Lonchura striata: one gene and its partner. The protein of the gene in region 2 purifies or fractionates together with the protein of the main gene of each other region. This does not show direct contact. Links are inferred from orthologs where the notes say so. Each region holds a gene or a part of one and is shown on either strand. Other genes may lie near its edges.

Region 1 (7,704 bases), on a different chromosome or scaffold from region 2:
ATGAAAGAATCAAAAGAAGTGCCAACTGAAAAACTTGCATTGGTTTTTCTTCTAATATTCTAGTACAAGATTAAACAACATTCTTGAAATTGTGATCTTCTGTGGCTTTAAACAGTTCTTTGTGAAATAGCTACTACTTCCTAAAAACACCTTATATTTAGGGATCTTCTCACATGATTTCAGACTTGGCATAGAAAGCAGTTAGATTTTAAGGAATTTAAAAGATAAACTGCCTCCACATGCAACATATTAGCCTTTAGTTTCAGATGTTTCCGAATGCAGAAGGCATTAAACAATGACATTTTAACCATGAAGATCTGGAAGTTAGGAGAACAATGTGGGAATTCTGTGTAACTCATATAAATTAGACATATAATTTAATTTACTTGGGGGTGATGATTTGGTTTTACACTATTTCTTTGATTTCTATTCAAAGCACATAATGAATACCTACACTTGCAGGGTTTCTCTGAGGGGATTAAAAGTGATCATAAGGCCTTAACAGGTGTCTGAGGGGCTCAGAATAGCAGCTGATTGTCTACAATATGTTTCCTTATACAGAATGGGATTTGTTTTAAAAAGTGATTTTTTTTACTCTGGTTAATGTTCTAATAGATACAAAAGCTGCAGTCTCTCTCTTCCTCTCTATCTTTTTCTTCTTCTTTATAAAACTTTACTGAAGCTATTCAGACCTTTCTGACCTGCAGATGCAGTCACAGTAGTATGTTCTATATGGGATAATATTTAATAACCATTCACAAAATTTAGAAGTGTGCCTGTATGGCTGATAAAGTTTGCTGTTATGGCAATAGTGCTGTTGCCATGCTGTCTTCCTAAAGCATACTTCCCAGAGCAATTCAAAGTCCTGATTTATATATACTTGAAGTGTTGCAAAGTTTAGCCTCTGTAATTACAGAGATGCTGCCTCTTTTCTTCACTGCAGAAATTGAGATCAGTTCATGTATTCATCTTCATATTTTTAATTTGAATGATGTGGAAGTCTGACTTTTTAAACATGCTCTGATTGTGGGTTCTTGTCTCAAGGATTCTTTCCCTGATGATATGATAGAACATGAGGATAATATCCATTTATTCACATGGGCTTGGTGGGGGAGGATAGAATGAGAGCTTGTCACATTTGCATTTAAGACTCCTGGATAATTTTCCAAGGGTATTACCCATTTTTATATATATATATACATAAAATTTTTAAGCAGCTATTGCAATTATAGTAAGAATTTAATTTTAATATTTTAATTAATTTGCAGGAAATTTTTCATATAATGTTTTGTATACCTATTAAAAAATAGGAGTTAAATGCATTTTTAGAAAGGAAATTATTTTTTTAAAAAAGTGGCAGTACAAGTGTGTCCATGGCATTGGGAGCATATAAAGGCTGTAGCTTAGGGTCCTCTGCTAGCCATATCATAAAAGAAATACATACTACACAGGTTTTAGGGCTCTAACACACAACTTTTAGAAGATTTAACCTTTCTTAGCTGTCTGTCTTAACACACTGCTCAGTATTATGGCTTCCATTACAAAAGAGGTTTGTGGTTTCACTTCACCATCCCCTGTTATAGCTTAAGCCAGTGAAGGTGAGTTTTGACTAAGAAGCTAGACTGGATAGATCTCATGTGTTTTACAAACTCGGTAATCTCTAGAAAGGGGTGAAGCAATTAGCCTCAGGCAATAATAGCCTAAACTGTAACACTATGACACTAGACTTGTCAGAAACCTCACACCACCCAGGTGAGGGTCCCAGGGTCTCTGAATTACAGCTGGTTTGAGACCCACACTTATTCTTTAAGAGAGAAGGCAACGCACAATCAGGAAAAAAATAGACATGATGTTATTCCCCTAAGCTATTGTTTCAGTTTTAAGTGTTAATGGTCCTTTCAACCCCAATAGCATAAAAATACCTCCATGTCAAATGTAAAGAAATATTCACTGAAAGCTGGCTAAGAGGATTTTGATACCAGTGATTTTAAAAGTAGGGTAAGATGTAGCATTACAGTCCTTGGGTGGGCAAGGATAGGTTGGATTCAAATCTACACAGGGACCTTCAGGCAATGTCACTCAGCCCTAAATGCAGATGTATCATTGGCCAGAGAGCAGGATGGTGCTAAGACCTCAATGAATCACATGCGTAAAGTGGGGAAATTGGAGCTCCTATAAAGAAGCTGTGGGAATAAACTCGAGGCTGTTTGTCTCAAGGACCATTTGAGTGCATGTCTTCTTGGTCTCCAACATGCACTTCCCATCATGCTGCAATAAGAAACAGAGTGTAGAAGACTGGATAGTCAACTGCAAGCTCATACAAATGTGTTCTGTTTTAGTAACCCAAGAATTTTACTTTTATAGATGGATGTAAAAGACCTTGTGGGGGGAAATAAAAACCTCTTTCTTAACAAATGCCTTTGAAAAGGCAGAAAATATGCTTAAATGTGCCCTATTTTACATATCCCTTTCATCCTTTAGGCTTTTGACGTAATGCTTATCACTTTGCCATTATATCAATTTGTGCTTACCAGTCTTTTTTTCCTCTTGTCTCATCTTATATTTAGGCAATGATCCTGCAAACACTTACCTACATGCTTAATTTTGCTACTCCTTCCTTGTTAATCCCTTTGAAGTTAAAAAGGATTATTTGCATTAGCAAAATAAGGCATGTGTGTGCTTTCAGGAAGAAGTTCTTATGTTGTAAACCCTTTGGGGTGGGACCAGATGAGTTATTAGGCAGTCAGATAGCTCAAAGCACGGTTGTGTGGAGGATGAGTTCAGAAGTTTGTGAAGTTAACAACTGCTAACAGAGTGAACGGGTTTGTGGGACATGCCTAGGGCATAGCACACAAGTAGTTGCTCACCCCAACTAGCACACAATCTTCTTCCCCTCTTTTCTGCATTTATTGCTGAGCTGTAGCCTCAGATTTCATACCAGCCGAGACATCTGCTTTTTTCTTACCTCCTAAAGCAGAAAATTCCCTGATATTTGCCATAGGGTAATCTAGAGCAAGACCATAAATAGATTTATGCTGGTGTGCGCAGGAAGGAGAAATAAAGATCTGAAACAGAGCTGCAGAGTTCTCCATGCTCACATTGTTGTACCCTTGCAGCCTTCTCAGAACCTCCCAGCACTAGCTTCTCATCCCAGCTAATGCATGTAATGCTTTTATATTCTTCTCATTCTTCCCACTTTCCAGGGAGACCTAGCCATGATTTTTTCCCCTCTTAAATGTGTCCTATTCAAGTACTCTATTTCAATGTACACTTGCTTTTGTTTAAGATAGATATAATTTAAAACTCACTTGGAAAGATGTGTGGGAAGTCTTCCCTTAGCTGCATTCAGCCAATGCAGCTCTGTATAGAATACCATAGCATAACGAGTAAGCTTGATATTTGGGATAGAGAGAATTACCCTGTAGTGTTTATCCTCTAGAAACCACTGACATGGATATTATAGTATTTTTTGTTGTATAACTTTAAAAAATTACTCCCAGCTTCACAGGAAAAGTTCAAACTCCAGTTTCCAGGAATATTTATTTTGGTTTATAACTCTAAGCAGAAAAATCTTATTTTTATTACACTAACATCTAGAGCTCCAGTAGAGCTGTGTAGGCCATTTTGTTCTGTTATCTAAAACTAGGGAGAGAAATGATCTTCTATCAAAGAAAATAACCTATGGATTTGTCTACATTAAATGCTCTAATAAATATATTAAAGTAATTGCAACAAATCTTTGTAACTGGAATCTCTGGACGAAACCCCACTCGGCGAGCTGTCTGCACTTGTGGAACAGGTCACTGCTGCTAGGTGATGTTTCCTGACTACGTTCATGTTTGTTAGCTGCGTATGTGAACGCACCCTGGCTCCAACAGTCGGGCAGCAGGAGCGAGTGCTCATTCAAGGGGCTCAGCAGAGGTTGTAACCTCGAGCAGGGCTGTGAAGAGGGACAGGGAGCAAGCACTGGTGAGGCTGCACCTCAAGTACTGTGTGAGGTGCTGGAGTATGATCAGAGAAGGGCAGAAAGCTTGTGAAAGGTCTAGAAACCATGTCTGATGAGGATGGGCTCAGGGAGCTGGGGCTGTTCTGCCTGGAGGCGGCTCAGCGGGAACCTCATGGCTCCCTACAGGAGCCAGGTGGGATCTGTCTCTTCTGCTATGCCTGCAGCGAGACGGCCAAAGGAAATCGACTGAAGCTGAGACAAGGAAGATTCGAATTAGATGTTTAAAAAAATCTTTCCGTGTTAGTGTGCTCAGGAACTGGAATAAGCTGCCCAGGAGGGTGGTGGAACTACCATCCCCAGAGGTGTTCAAGAGGTGCTCGGCTCTGGCGCTGAGCGATGTGACACAGTGGTTACAGTGGCAGTGCTGGGTTGGGCGGCTGCGCTGGAGGATCTGAAGGGCCATTTCCAGCCCGGGTGCCGCTGTGGCTCAGGGATCCCCTGACGGGCGCTGTCCCGGCCCGCCCTCAGCCGCGGGGCGGGGCCGTCGGGCTCGCGCCCAGGAGAGGCTTTGGCCAACGGGCCCGCGCGCCAGCGCCTCGCGCGGTCCCGGCGCTTCCTTCCGGCCGCCATTTTGTCGGCCGTGCCTCGCCGTGCCGCCGCTCGGGGAGGGAGCGCAGAGCACCCGCCCGCCGCACCCGGACCGACCGCCCGCCAGCCACACCGACCGCCATCGCCATGTCCAAGCGCCACCGCCTCGATCTGGGCGACGATTACAGCTCCAGCAAGAAACGCACCACCGACGGGTGAGGGGTGGCGCGGGCGGCGCGGCCTGCGGCGGGGCGGGTGGGGGGGATCGCGGCGGCTCCCGCGCCATCCGCGCCCCATCCCCGGCTCCGGCCGCCCCTCCGGGGCTGCAGCTCCCCGGGACGCGGGGCGGCCGCCTTGCGAGGCAGGGAGAGGCCGCAGCGACGGCGCCTCGGCCGAGCAGGCCCCGAAGTCTGGCGGCTCCCCGAGCGCGGGGCCTGGCTCGGAACGGCCGCCCCGCCGGGCGGGCCCTTCGGGGGGCGGATGGCGGCGGCGGCGGCGACAGCGGCGGCGGGGCCTCGCGCGGCGGCGCCGGCAGGGGGAGGGGAGGGAGGGGAGGGAGGCGCCGGCCCGGCCGCCGGGGCAGGGGGCTGGGCTGGGCGCCCGCTGCGGGGCCCGCGCCCCCGCGCACGCTTTGTTTGCAGCTCTTCGCCTTCGTACTTATATTCGCCTTTTCCACTCCTTGTCCTCCTTCCTTTGTGTTTGTTTACTTATTCTCTGGCTTGAAAGGTCTGGCGAGCGTGGGCCTAGAGGTGAGCACGAGGGTTGTGCAGCCCGTGTTATTAGTGCCTACTCTGGTGGGAGCCTTGTTCCTTTGTTAACGTCTTTTCACCCAGTCACCCTCGGTGATGTGCTTGCCCTGAAGTAAGAATCGATGGTGAGGTGGGTTTTGAGTTAGGGGGCAAGGAATTGTTTATTTTTCTCTTAGTTTTGCGGGGTTGAAGTTTTAGGGCTGTACTCGAGCATATTTTTGTTGAGGTTAATGTAATTGCAGGAACACAGACAATGCACTGGTGCTGTTCTTAAATTCAGCGTTGATTTAGAGCTTTCTTTACACATTATCTTTTCCTCTCTAGTTGGGCAGGAGGGGGAGGAAGGGCAGTCAGCTCTTGAAAGTAAATTTCTGAAGTTTTAAGGAGTACAAAAAAATGCAGTGTTTATCTAGTCTGGCCTTCTTTATGGAGCACAGCAAGCTTCCGTGAATTAAACACTTGTTTAAGTCCATCAGCGTTGTTTTGGACTAGTTATGTAAGAAAAAAAAATTTCAGTTTTCACAGGTTAAATAAGTCGAATGTAGCAGTTAATAGTCACTGACAAACAGTCTTTGCAAAACTTGCCTTTTTTAAGGTAAGCTTGTACAGCTTCAGTTTTTAGCCCCTAGAGTTTGATTCATTTTTCTCAGCTAAACAAAATAAGTCTTTGTTATTCTACTTTTACTTTCTGTCTGTAGGATCATCATAATCACGTTTTATAAAATATATTGAGCTATTTGTGTTAGTTAATGCATTTTTGTAGGATTTCCCAGAGTTTGAAATAGTTCCTCTGAGTGTACAGAAATGTACATGTACAGTTTTTCTGTGGTACAACTGTTACAGCTGGCTGTAGCGATAATCATGGGTCAATATTTCCTTGTTTGTATGTTGGTGGATTTTGTAGTTTTGGTGTGGCCTTGTTTGTCATTGTTTTTACTTATCATGAATGCTATTCTGTGCTCTTGGTGCTACCATTTTGTATGTACTGCAGTGAGTTCCCACCAGTGTTAAACTAGAAGACATTGACCTTTATGGCACCTAAAAACTGTAGAAATGTTGGTCTTGTGCCCCTTCTTTGTCCTGCCCTCTGCAGGTAAAAGCATGAAATGGTATAGGACTGAGAAAAACTCACTATAAGCATAATTACTGAACATGCCATGATTATTTCTTAGATGACTTGCAATCTTAATTCACGTAGGATGAGTCATACTAATGTTACATGGCTGGTTTATTTTAGAGTAGTTCGGTTTTGCAGCTTATGCAAGGCCGTAAGGAGGATGTGTGGAGCCTTGTTAAAAGCCTGTGTGTACCTGTCTTCCTCTGTGCCGAGGTTGCCTTTCCGCAGTGTAGGTGGTTCTGGAGCTGGATTAAGCTGGATGAGCTCCTTGCGTGATTACCACTTCGCATTCAGAACAATAGTGTCTTGCATCCTAACTGGACTACCTGACAAATATGAAAGTTACTTCAAGTGAACCTGTATTTTTTAGTTCCTCTTTAATGGAGGCCTATGTTAGTATGGGTTGCTGCACATTGGCAGCAGTGCCACATGGGCTCTGCTTGGCCGACATGTTTGTAACTGGTGCAACCTTAAACATCTGCATGACATCTGTTTTCTTCCAGAATTGAAGTATTGTCTGTGAAGTAAAAAACATTTTGAAAAATAAAAGTTGTATGGAAGACTTGGTTACAGCATTTCTGTGAATTACATACATACTATTTTAAAATATGCTAATTTATTTTTAAATATATTTGAGTTGTGTAACATCAGAGTGATCTAATGGGATGTATCATTCAGACTAATTGTATTTGGTTGATTTCTGTATAGAACAGAAATTCCTTTAGCTTATTGCCTTTTTTGCATCAAATATTGCTGTTTAATAATGGGGAGGAATTATGATTTCTTAGACTGGTTTAAGCCTTCACTGTGATGATCAGTGGTTTACCTTGAGTCCTTTGTTTCCCTTTTTATTTTTATATGATTTCTAATCAAAAAAAGCATGCTTATTTAGTGGTTGCTATAGTGCTTATTTTGTGTTCATATATGTTATATGTGTGTGAATGTAAGGAAGTGAAAGCAAATAGCAGACCAGACTTTTTCACTTAAAAGCAGAGCAAAAAATCCCAGCCCCCTTCTGATCATGAAGGCTGTTACGCGTTTCAGGTGCAAGACAAATGTGATTAAATCATTACTTTAGTGTAATTTTTTGTGTTTGAGTTCTGTTTTCTCTGAGCAATAATGAAAAAGCAGCTAAAATGTAATAGTTTATAAGTAAAGAACTGTCAAGCCATATTGTTAGAAAGTTAAGGAAATTAATATGGCGGCATAACTGTCATTCCTCCTTTTCCTTGTTGACCAAGGGAGTGTGTGTCTGCTGTGTCTGCTAAGCTTCAGTAATAATGGGAAACTGGTAAATAGTTTCA
Region 2 (7,436 bases):
ATTAGGTTTGTGAGAGAACTAACTGCCTTTGTGCTGGCTAATTGACTTACAAATGCTAAGGTTTCACATTAGCTTGTGAGCTGCTCAATGTAATGAATGAGTTTGTATTGCATCATTGTCCTTTCCTTAATGAATTACATGTTTACATCAGCATCTCTTATTTCAGGCAGCAGAGGGAATGTCCCAAGCCTTTTGAGAACTTGGCCACCCCCACCAGCAGGCAGGAGATAGGTATATCGGGAAAAAGTGCCATTGTGGGTTTTCCTCTTGAATTTCATGTGGCAACTAGTCATCCCAGCCTTTGGCATTAAAGGTGATAAAGGGTGGGATATGGACACTGTTGGCTCCAAGTGCATTGTAAACTAGCTGCTGGCCATCAGCTTGCTCTGTTTATGTAGCCCATTTTCCATTAGATAGGGATAAAGGAGATTAAATCTTCCAGAAATCTTTAGCTAGTGTTCTTTTTATGTAGTGTCTTTGGTTTGTTCCCTCTTCAGGTTTTTACATAAAGGGTTTTAGAACTGGGAAACAGCACATCCACAAATTTTTAGCAATGACTTTAAAAACATATAATGAGCAGCAGAAGAACCTCTGTATCTTCAGGTGTGCTTCTCTCCAAATTACTGAAATGTCCTGTTGTCAGGGTAGGAAAGCAGCATCTGTAGACAACCACAAGGTACAGAATTAAGCACTTTCATTTTATTGTTTACAAGACATAACTTGAGATTATGGATTGTGCTACCCTCATGGCAAATCACTCGTTCATAAGAGACCAATCAAGTCTTGCCTTATCCTATCATGTATTTGTCTATTGAGTTCCATTTTCTAGTGGCTTATGCTTTTGACTTAGTTGTTACATGGAAAGGACATTTACACTGTGAGAACAGGATGGGGAAGCCCTTTTCATCTGTAATATTTCTTTGGCTCTTTGTATATACCTTTTTGTTTCTATCTTTACTTTGTTTAAGAACAAAAATGTAAATCCATTTCTGCATTAGTCTTTTTTGGTGCAGCCACTGAGATGTCTTCTAGTTGTCTTTAGACTTTTTTGAGAAAACAGACTATCTAATTTAATGACTTCATGTTTTGATTGCTGTATGCAGTGTGACTACTGTAAAGTTAATTGAACAATGTTTGTATTCAGGAGCTGATCAAAGCCCAATCCTTCAAGACTGTGACTACCCTAATGCTAATTTAAAAGCTACAATAGCTAGCTCTTACCTGCTTTCCCCGAGAAAGATCCCAATAAAAAGGTGCATGAATGATGTCCTAAGGAACCAGTGTATTCTGACATATTTGGTCAATAGGATTTAAACAGGCGGGTCCTGATCAGTGGGCCAGGCAGCTTGCTTAAAACTTTAGTGTAAGGTTTCTTTTGTGGAGACATTATATATTCTGTATTCTTCTTTCTCTTTTAATGTTCACTTTCTGTGTGTGTTCTTGAGAGTTTCTTTTGTGAATAGATGCTTCCTAGAATGAGCAAGAGAAGAGCATTCCTCAAAATGCTAATGAAATAGGCTGATGTGGAACAGGCATTTCCAATGAAGAGGAATAGAAGGAAAATACTCTGATTACATAGGACTGCGAATTCTTCGGCTCGGTATCTCTTCCATACTATGCTTTTTGTCTCATTTCATTTTGCAAAATACATATTTATTTTATTATGTTGGTGTTTATGCATATTGCAGAGAAGGATAATACTTCCCCTGGTGTGGCAATCTTTGGTTTGGTTTCTGAGTGTGTCTTCACTAGAATGCAAAGAATGTAAGTGGTGTATTCCAAATTGTTTTCACTTTTACTGGTAGGTGCACAGTGTGTAAATGTCCACAGAGAGGGATTAAGTATTAATATTGCCCACTTAAAAAAGCTTTTCACTGACAAAAGCAGACCTGTATATCTGCAGTGTGCTCTCCTTTGCTCTAAGGTCTGGATGCTTTTTTCTACTTGTTGTCTACTTGGTTCTACTTTGTTGAGCCCTTGGTGATGTTATGCCCTGAACTGTTGCCTGTTTTAGGATGGCATCAAGTGCTTCCAGATGTCAGGTTACAACTGAGCTAGTCACAGACGATGCTGGGCAGGTTCAAGACTTGCTGTTTTCCCTTGGAAGACAGCTGTCAGGTAGTGTGATAATCAGACACTTTCAGGGCAATACATTGTCAGCATCAGTGGAAGAGCTGGGAAGGAGTGCAATGAAAAGGAGACCATCACTGAGGGATGTTTACTCCACTGAGGGACCTCCACTGAGGGATCTGTGGAGTCCAAGGCCAATCTGACAATCTTGTGCAAGAAAAATATACCATGTGTGGTGAGCCTGTCACAGGCAGAGTGGGAGCTTCAGACAAAGTTTAATTATTAAAGAAGCCCTCCCATTGAGTCACGAGGTGAAGACAGGGCCCCCTTGCTTTCTAAAATCCTTCTCAGAGGAGCCTGGATGTGGCTGGATCCATTCTTAGCCCCAGACTGTCAGTGGTTCGTGTCGAAAGGATTATATAGGTGAAAATGAACCTTTATACAACTTTGTCCTGAAGGATTTAAGGATGCCAAACCAGATATATAAATATGTATGATTTATTTTGATAATGATTGGACAAAAGATCTTTATCAGAATTATTTACCACAAAGTATAGGAGGTGGAACAGCTCTTACAGTGCACTATGATGAAATACTGAAGCAGTTGTTTTAAAGCAATTGTATTAAAACTGGGGAAGAAAACCCAATTAAGTTGAGATAATGTTATTCATCCATGACTGTGGACTAATTTCTTTTGCTCAGTCATGAGGAGTAACCTTGAGCAGCATCCCCAGTCAAGGGAGAAATCTCCACACATACACTTCAAGAAAGGGGTATATTAAAAGACCATGCCCTTAAAATTAGGGACTGGGCTTTGACGGTATAAAGTTACTGTCAGTCATAGGTCTCCAGGCTAGCTGTGTCAGCTCAGCAACTTTAGATAAATTATCCATAGTATCACTTACTGGTTCTGGGTATTTTACCAGGTCTGTCCTATCACATCTTCATCTCACTATCAGGATGTTTAATTTCGGGACTGATGAGTCATACTGGCTTCAGCATTACTGTGTATCAAAAGCAGCATGATGACCCCTTCTTCATTTACCATAGATAGCTTTTCCCATAGTCATTGTTTGAGTTGTTTTTCCCATTCCAGGCAAGCATCCTGCTCCAGAGCTTTAGCAACAACTGTCAAATTTAACTGCAGAATGTGTAACAGGCAATTCAATAATCCAGCTGTGCCCCCCTTCCCCCAAGTTGAAGTGCAGGTTTTCTTTTCCAAAGATATGCTCTGACTAGTCAATGTTTTACTTCCTCCTCCTCATCTTCCTGTCCTGCCATAACTCAACCTATTAGACATACAGTTAACAGCAACTACATAACCATGAGCTATACTTCTCAAGCAGGATCCTTCCTTCTCTCGATACCTACCGTGTTTGCTTTGGTTTTGTGAGACTAAGCATTCAGACTTGTGTGCTGAGCTGTATTTCCCCAGGGTTCGAGCTTAATGCAAAGTACAAGACGGCTCCCAGGATCAGGCTGGAAAAGACCTCTGAGGTCATCGAGTCCGGCCCATGACTGAACGCCACCATGGGAACTAGACAATGGGAGTGCCACTTCCAGGCTTTCCTTAACACCTCCGGGGATGGTGACTCCACCACCCCCCCGGGTAGCACATTCCAATGTCGAATCGCCCTTTCTGGGGAGGAATTCCTCCAGCTGTCCAACCTGAACCTCCCCTGCGTAGCCTGAGGTTGTGCCCTCGTCCTGGCAGTGCTTGCTGGGGGAAAGAGGCCGATCCCCGCTTGGCTACGACTCCTTCTGGGGGTTGTAGAGAGCGATAAGGTCACCCCTGAGCCTCCTCTTCTCCAGCCTAAAAACACTCCTACCTTCCGCTACGCTACACGGTCGATAAACATTTGTATATCCGTGTATTTACAAATTATTAAGCAGCGTTTTCCGCGCGGGCGGGGCTGCCCGGGACCCGCCGAAGGGAGCGGGCCCGCGGGCGGTGCGTCACTGCCGCGCGCCGGCGGCCAACGAGGCCCCGCGCGAGGGGCGGGCCGGGGGCGGGGCCGGCGCCGCGTCGGAGCGGGGAAACGAAAGCCCTTCGGAGCCCGAGCCCTTCGGAGCCCGAGCCCTTCGGAGCCCGCCGCCTGCCCCGCTTTCGCCGTGAGTGCCGCCCGCTCCAGCACGGCGCTGTCCGCCGACCCCGGCCGTGTGCGGGTCAGCGCGGGGCGCGGCCGCCGGCGGCTCCGGCCGTCTCCCCGCTGCCCGCCCTCCGCCTGCGGGCAGGTCTCGGCTCGGCCTCTGCCACCGGGGGCTGCGCGGCGGGCGGCGTGACGGCGTGAGGCCGGGAAGGGCAGCGAAGCTGGGGAAGGGTTTGCAGGGTAAGTACTGTGAGGATACGGGCTGAGGGACCTGGGGGTGTTTAGCCTGGAGAAGATTAGGCTCAGGGGAGACCTTATGGCTCTCTACAACCCTCGAGAGGAGGGTGTAGCCAGGAGGGATTGTCCCCTTCTGCCAGGCAACCAGGACAAGAGGACACAGCCTCAGGCTGTGCCAGGGGAGATTTAGACTGGACATCAGGAGGAATTTCTCTGCAGAAGAGGTGATGAGACGTTGGAGTGGATAGCCCAGGGAAGTGGTGGAGTCACCATCTCTGGAGGTGTTCAAGGAAAGACTGGATGTGGCACGTAGTGCCCTTGTCTAGTTCCCAGGGTGGTATTCACTCATGGTTTGGTTTCGATGACCTCAGAGGTCTTTTCCAACCAAAATGATTCTGTGAGCAGCCGGTGGTGCGGTACAAGGGGGCTGTAGGGCATGGGTGGGGATGTGGAGGAACTTTTCCTCGCAGCTGCAGGACTCCTGAGGGACCGGGTGTCCCTAACTTGCCCCTAAATTTGCATGGTTTGAAATTTGTCAGGAAGTCAAGTGTGCTGAGGGACCCTTAGTGGAGTTTGGAGGGTGGGGCGTCTTGATAGGGGGCTGGTAAGAGTGAGCTAAGAGTGTTGGTCTCATTTGGCTCTCTCAGAAGAAATATAAAATGGATGGTTTATTAGAGATAAAGAGTAAAAAACCAAAACCCTCAACTGAGGCAAGAGCAGGTAAAGGTTAGTTGTCTGTAATATAACTTCTGGTGGAAGGGAGAAGATTTCTTAGCCATAGTGCAGTGAGGTTGTGGGATCATTTTGCAGTCAGAGTTGTGGGGATAAAGAAAGGATTTAGCCTTAAGCTGCCTTGTATGTGTTTGTGGAAATAAGTTTGATAACTAAAGGTTTGAACTGGTGACCTGGGGTATCTTATAGCCCAACAATTCTATTTCTATGTCGTATAAGAAACACTAATCAAGGTACAGTTTCTTTTTTTTTTTTTTTTTTTTCAGTTGCAGGGAGGTTTTAGCTGGTCTGCTAAGCATTTTTGCCTTTAAATTTTTCCCTTTTTCCCTTTCCTTGCTTCTTGTCTTCTGCAAGCCTTCCAAGCTGGCTTCTATTAACTCCATCTTAAGCATTAGACCTTTCTCTGAGTTTGTGCAAATTTATTAGCCACATCCAGAAACTGGATATTTTGCCAGTGATTCCTGGTGAAAAACACAACTGCATGCACAACTTGAGCACGCATATTTAACAAAGTTCTGTTTTAAAAGCCATGCAGAAAAGCTCCTTTATTAAGATTTGCAGAGGTGAGGTCAGAGTTGTTTGAAGTCTTGTGAGGAATTGGTTCCACATTGAATATTCTCCATTAGATGGACCTGACATTTTTTCAGTGTGTTTGGATAAAATGAATCTTCGATTCAGTAGTAGTAATGAACTGCCATATATTTAAGTTATTTAACAGTCTACATCTGGGTAACTTGATCTACTTGCATTTGGGGATAAGTAGGTTTGCAGAAGTGATTTGAAATTCATCAGTTATAGGGAAATTTCTATATCAGTTTCCCATTTGATTAGTTAAACTAGGTGTTTACAAAAACGAATTCAAAAGAAGCTAAGAGTTTAACCTAAAGACATTTATGTTGAGAATAATACTGATACTAATACTGAACAGCATAACATGATCTGTGCTACCATGCTACTGTGCATTACAGAAAGTAATGCTTAATGTTTGCCAAGTGTGATCTTCTTCTTCTTTTCGTATTATTTACAGCTCATACAGGAAACCATGAAGAGAAGGACTGAACCGGAATTTAGCAGCCCCCAAAATAAGCAGAAGAAGAGCAGAGAAGACTTGGGATTAACCCTCAGTTCTACTTCAGATGATGAAAATCAATTTAGTAATCATACTACTCAAGGTAAAGTTGGAGATCTGGAATGTGCTGCTGCAGGGGATATAAATAATAACCAGGAATAGAACCTGCATCTCCTGAATCCTAATTGATAGCCTGAATTTCAAGGATATACTCTTTTTAGGAAAAAAGCTACATTATTTATTTTCATAACATTGGATTGGTGTGAATTATTTTAGGCTTTTTATAAATCTTACATAAACCTTTTAATCTGGGAATTATATGAGTTTAGATGTAGAAAACTGGATTTGAGGTAGATGACATGCATGATCCAAAGCTCTAATCATTCTTGTCATACTGATCTTTTCAGTCTCAGCAGTTATTTCTGGTTTGGAAACTCAGTACTGAGGTGTTGTTGGTATTACACCATAAAGAAGCATTATAATCATAATTTTGTTGAAAAAGGAAGAAAGAAGTCAGTAGTCTTACCATATTTCTGCAGATGGGAGAAACTGAGATGACTACAAAGGGACCAGTTGGTTGGAGCTTTTATTTTGTAGGACCATCTCTTATGCTGGCTCAGTGTGATTTTGCCAGGGGACAGAGTTGTGAAAGCTCACAGGTGTTTGTTGTCAGAAAGATCTATTTCAGAATTAACTAATTGCCTACTTTTTCTTGGAGTGTGCTTTCTCACCTGGAGTTGGGATGTACCACAGATGAGGCATATGACCTGCACAATTGGTATGGGTGTTGTGGGACACTGAACTTTCCCAAGATGGTCCTTCACATTGCCTCACTGTCATGCCTGCTATGTCAGTTTTAGGATTGCTCATGGTCATGAAGTGTTCAAGTGCCTGAACACATAAAGCCTTCCCTTGTGAAAATGGAAGTGAGTGTGTGGGAGTAGCTGTAGTTGCAGGGTATAGTGTGTGTGTACCTGTCTGAGGAGGTCAGAGGTGCAGAATGTGAGAGCTGAGGTAGGGAATGCTCTGTGCACTCAGGGCTGAGCTAAAAAATTCAAACTGATTTTTTTTTTCTTTTTTTTTCTTCCTTTTAATTATTGAGTTCATACATGAATCAAAATAGGCTGTAAGCCTTAGTGTTTAAGAAACAAATTGATACAGCTCAAGGACAATATTTTGGGTAGAGTTAATTGTTTATTAGTGTATTACACCCATTTTGGTTTCTAATGAAAGAAGGG

What was found. Proteins that work in one complex are often made in the same cells at the same time.
Region 1: the proteins of CMTR1 (region 2) and DHX15 purify together in Homo sapiens (co-immunoprecipitation; 3 studies listed by BioGRID and IntAct, with this or other methods). This does not show direct contact. The link is inferred for Lonchura striata from reciprocal best matches to the Homo sapiens genes CMTR1 and DHX15.

What each region holds. Positions count from the first base shown.
Region 1 is NC_134606.1:18,206,767-18,214,470, reverse strand, and holds the start of DHX15 (ATP-dependent RNA helicase DHX15), read left to right. Parts: upstream 1-4,516; 5' UTR 4,517-4,681; coding exon 4,682-4,749; intron 4,750-7,704.
Region 2 is NC_134605.1:29,906,733-29,914,168, reverse strand, and holds the start of CMTR1 (cap-specific mRNA (nucleoside-2'-O-)-methyltransferase 1), read left to right. Parts: upstream 1-4,260; 5' UTR 4,261-4,400; intron 4,401-6,139; exon of another isoform or gene 6,140-6,156; 5' UTR 6,157-6,171; coding exon 6,172-6,301; intron 6,302-7,436. UniProt on the Homo sapiens protein: S-adenosyl-L-methionine-dependent methyltransferase that mediates mRNA cap1 2'-O-ribose methylation to the 5'-cap structure of mRNAs.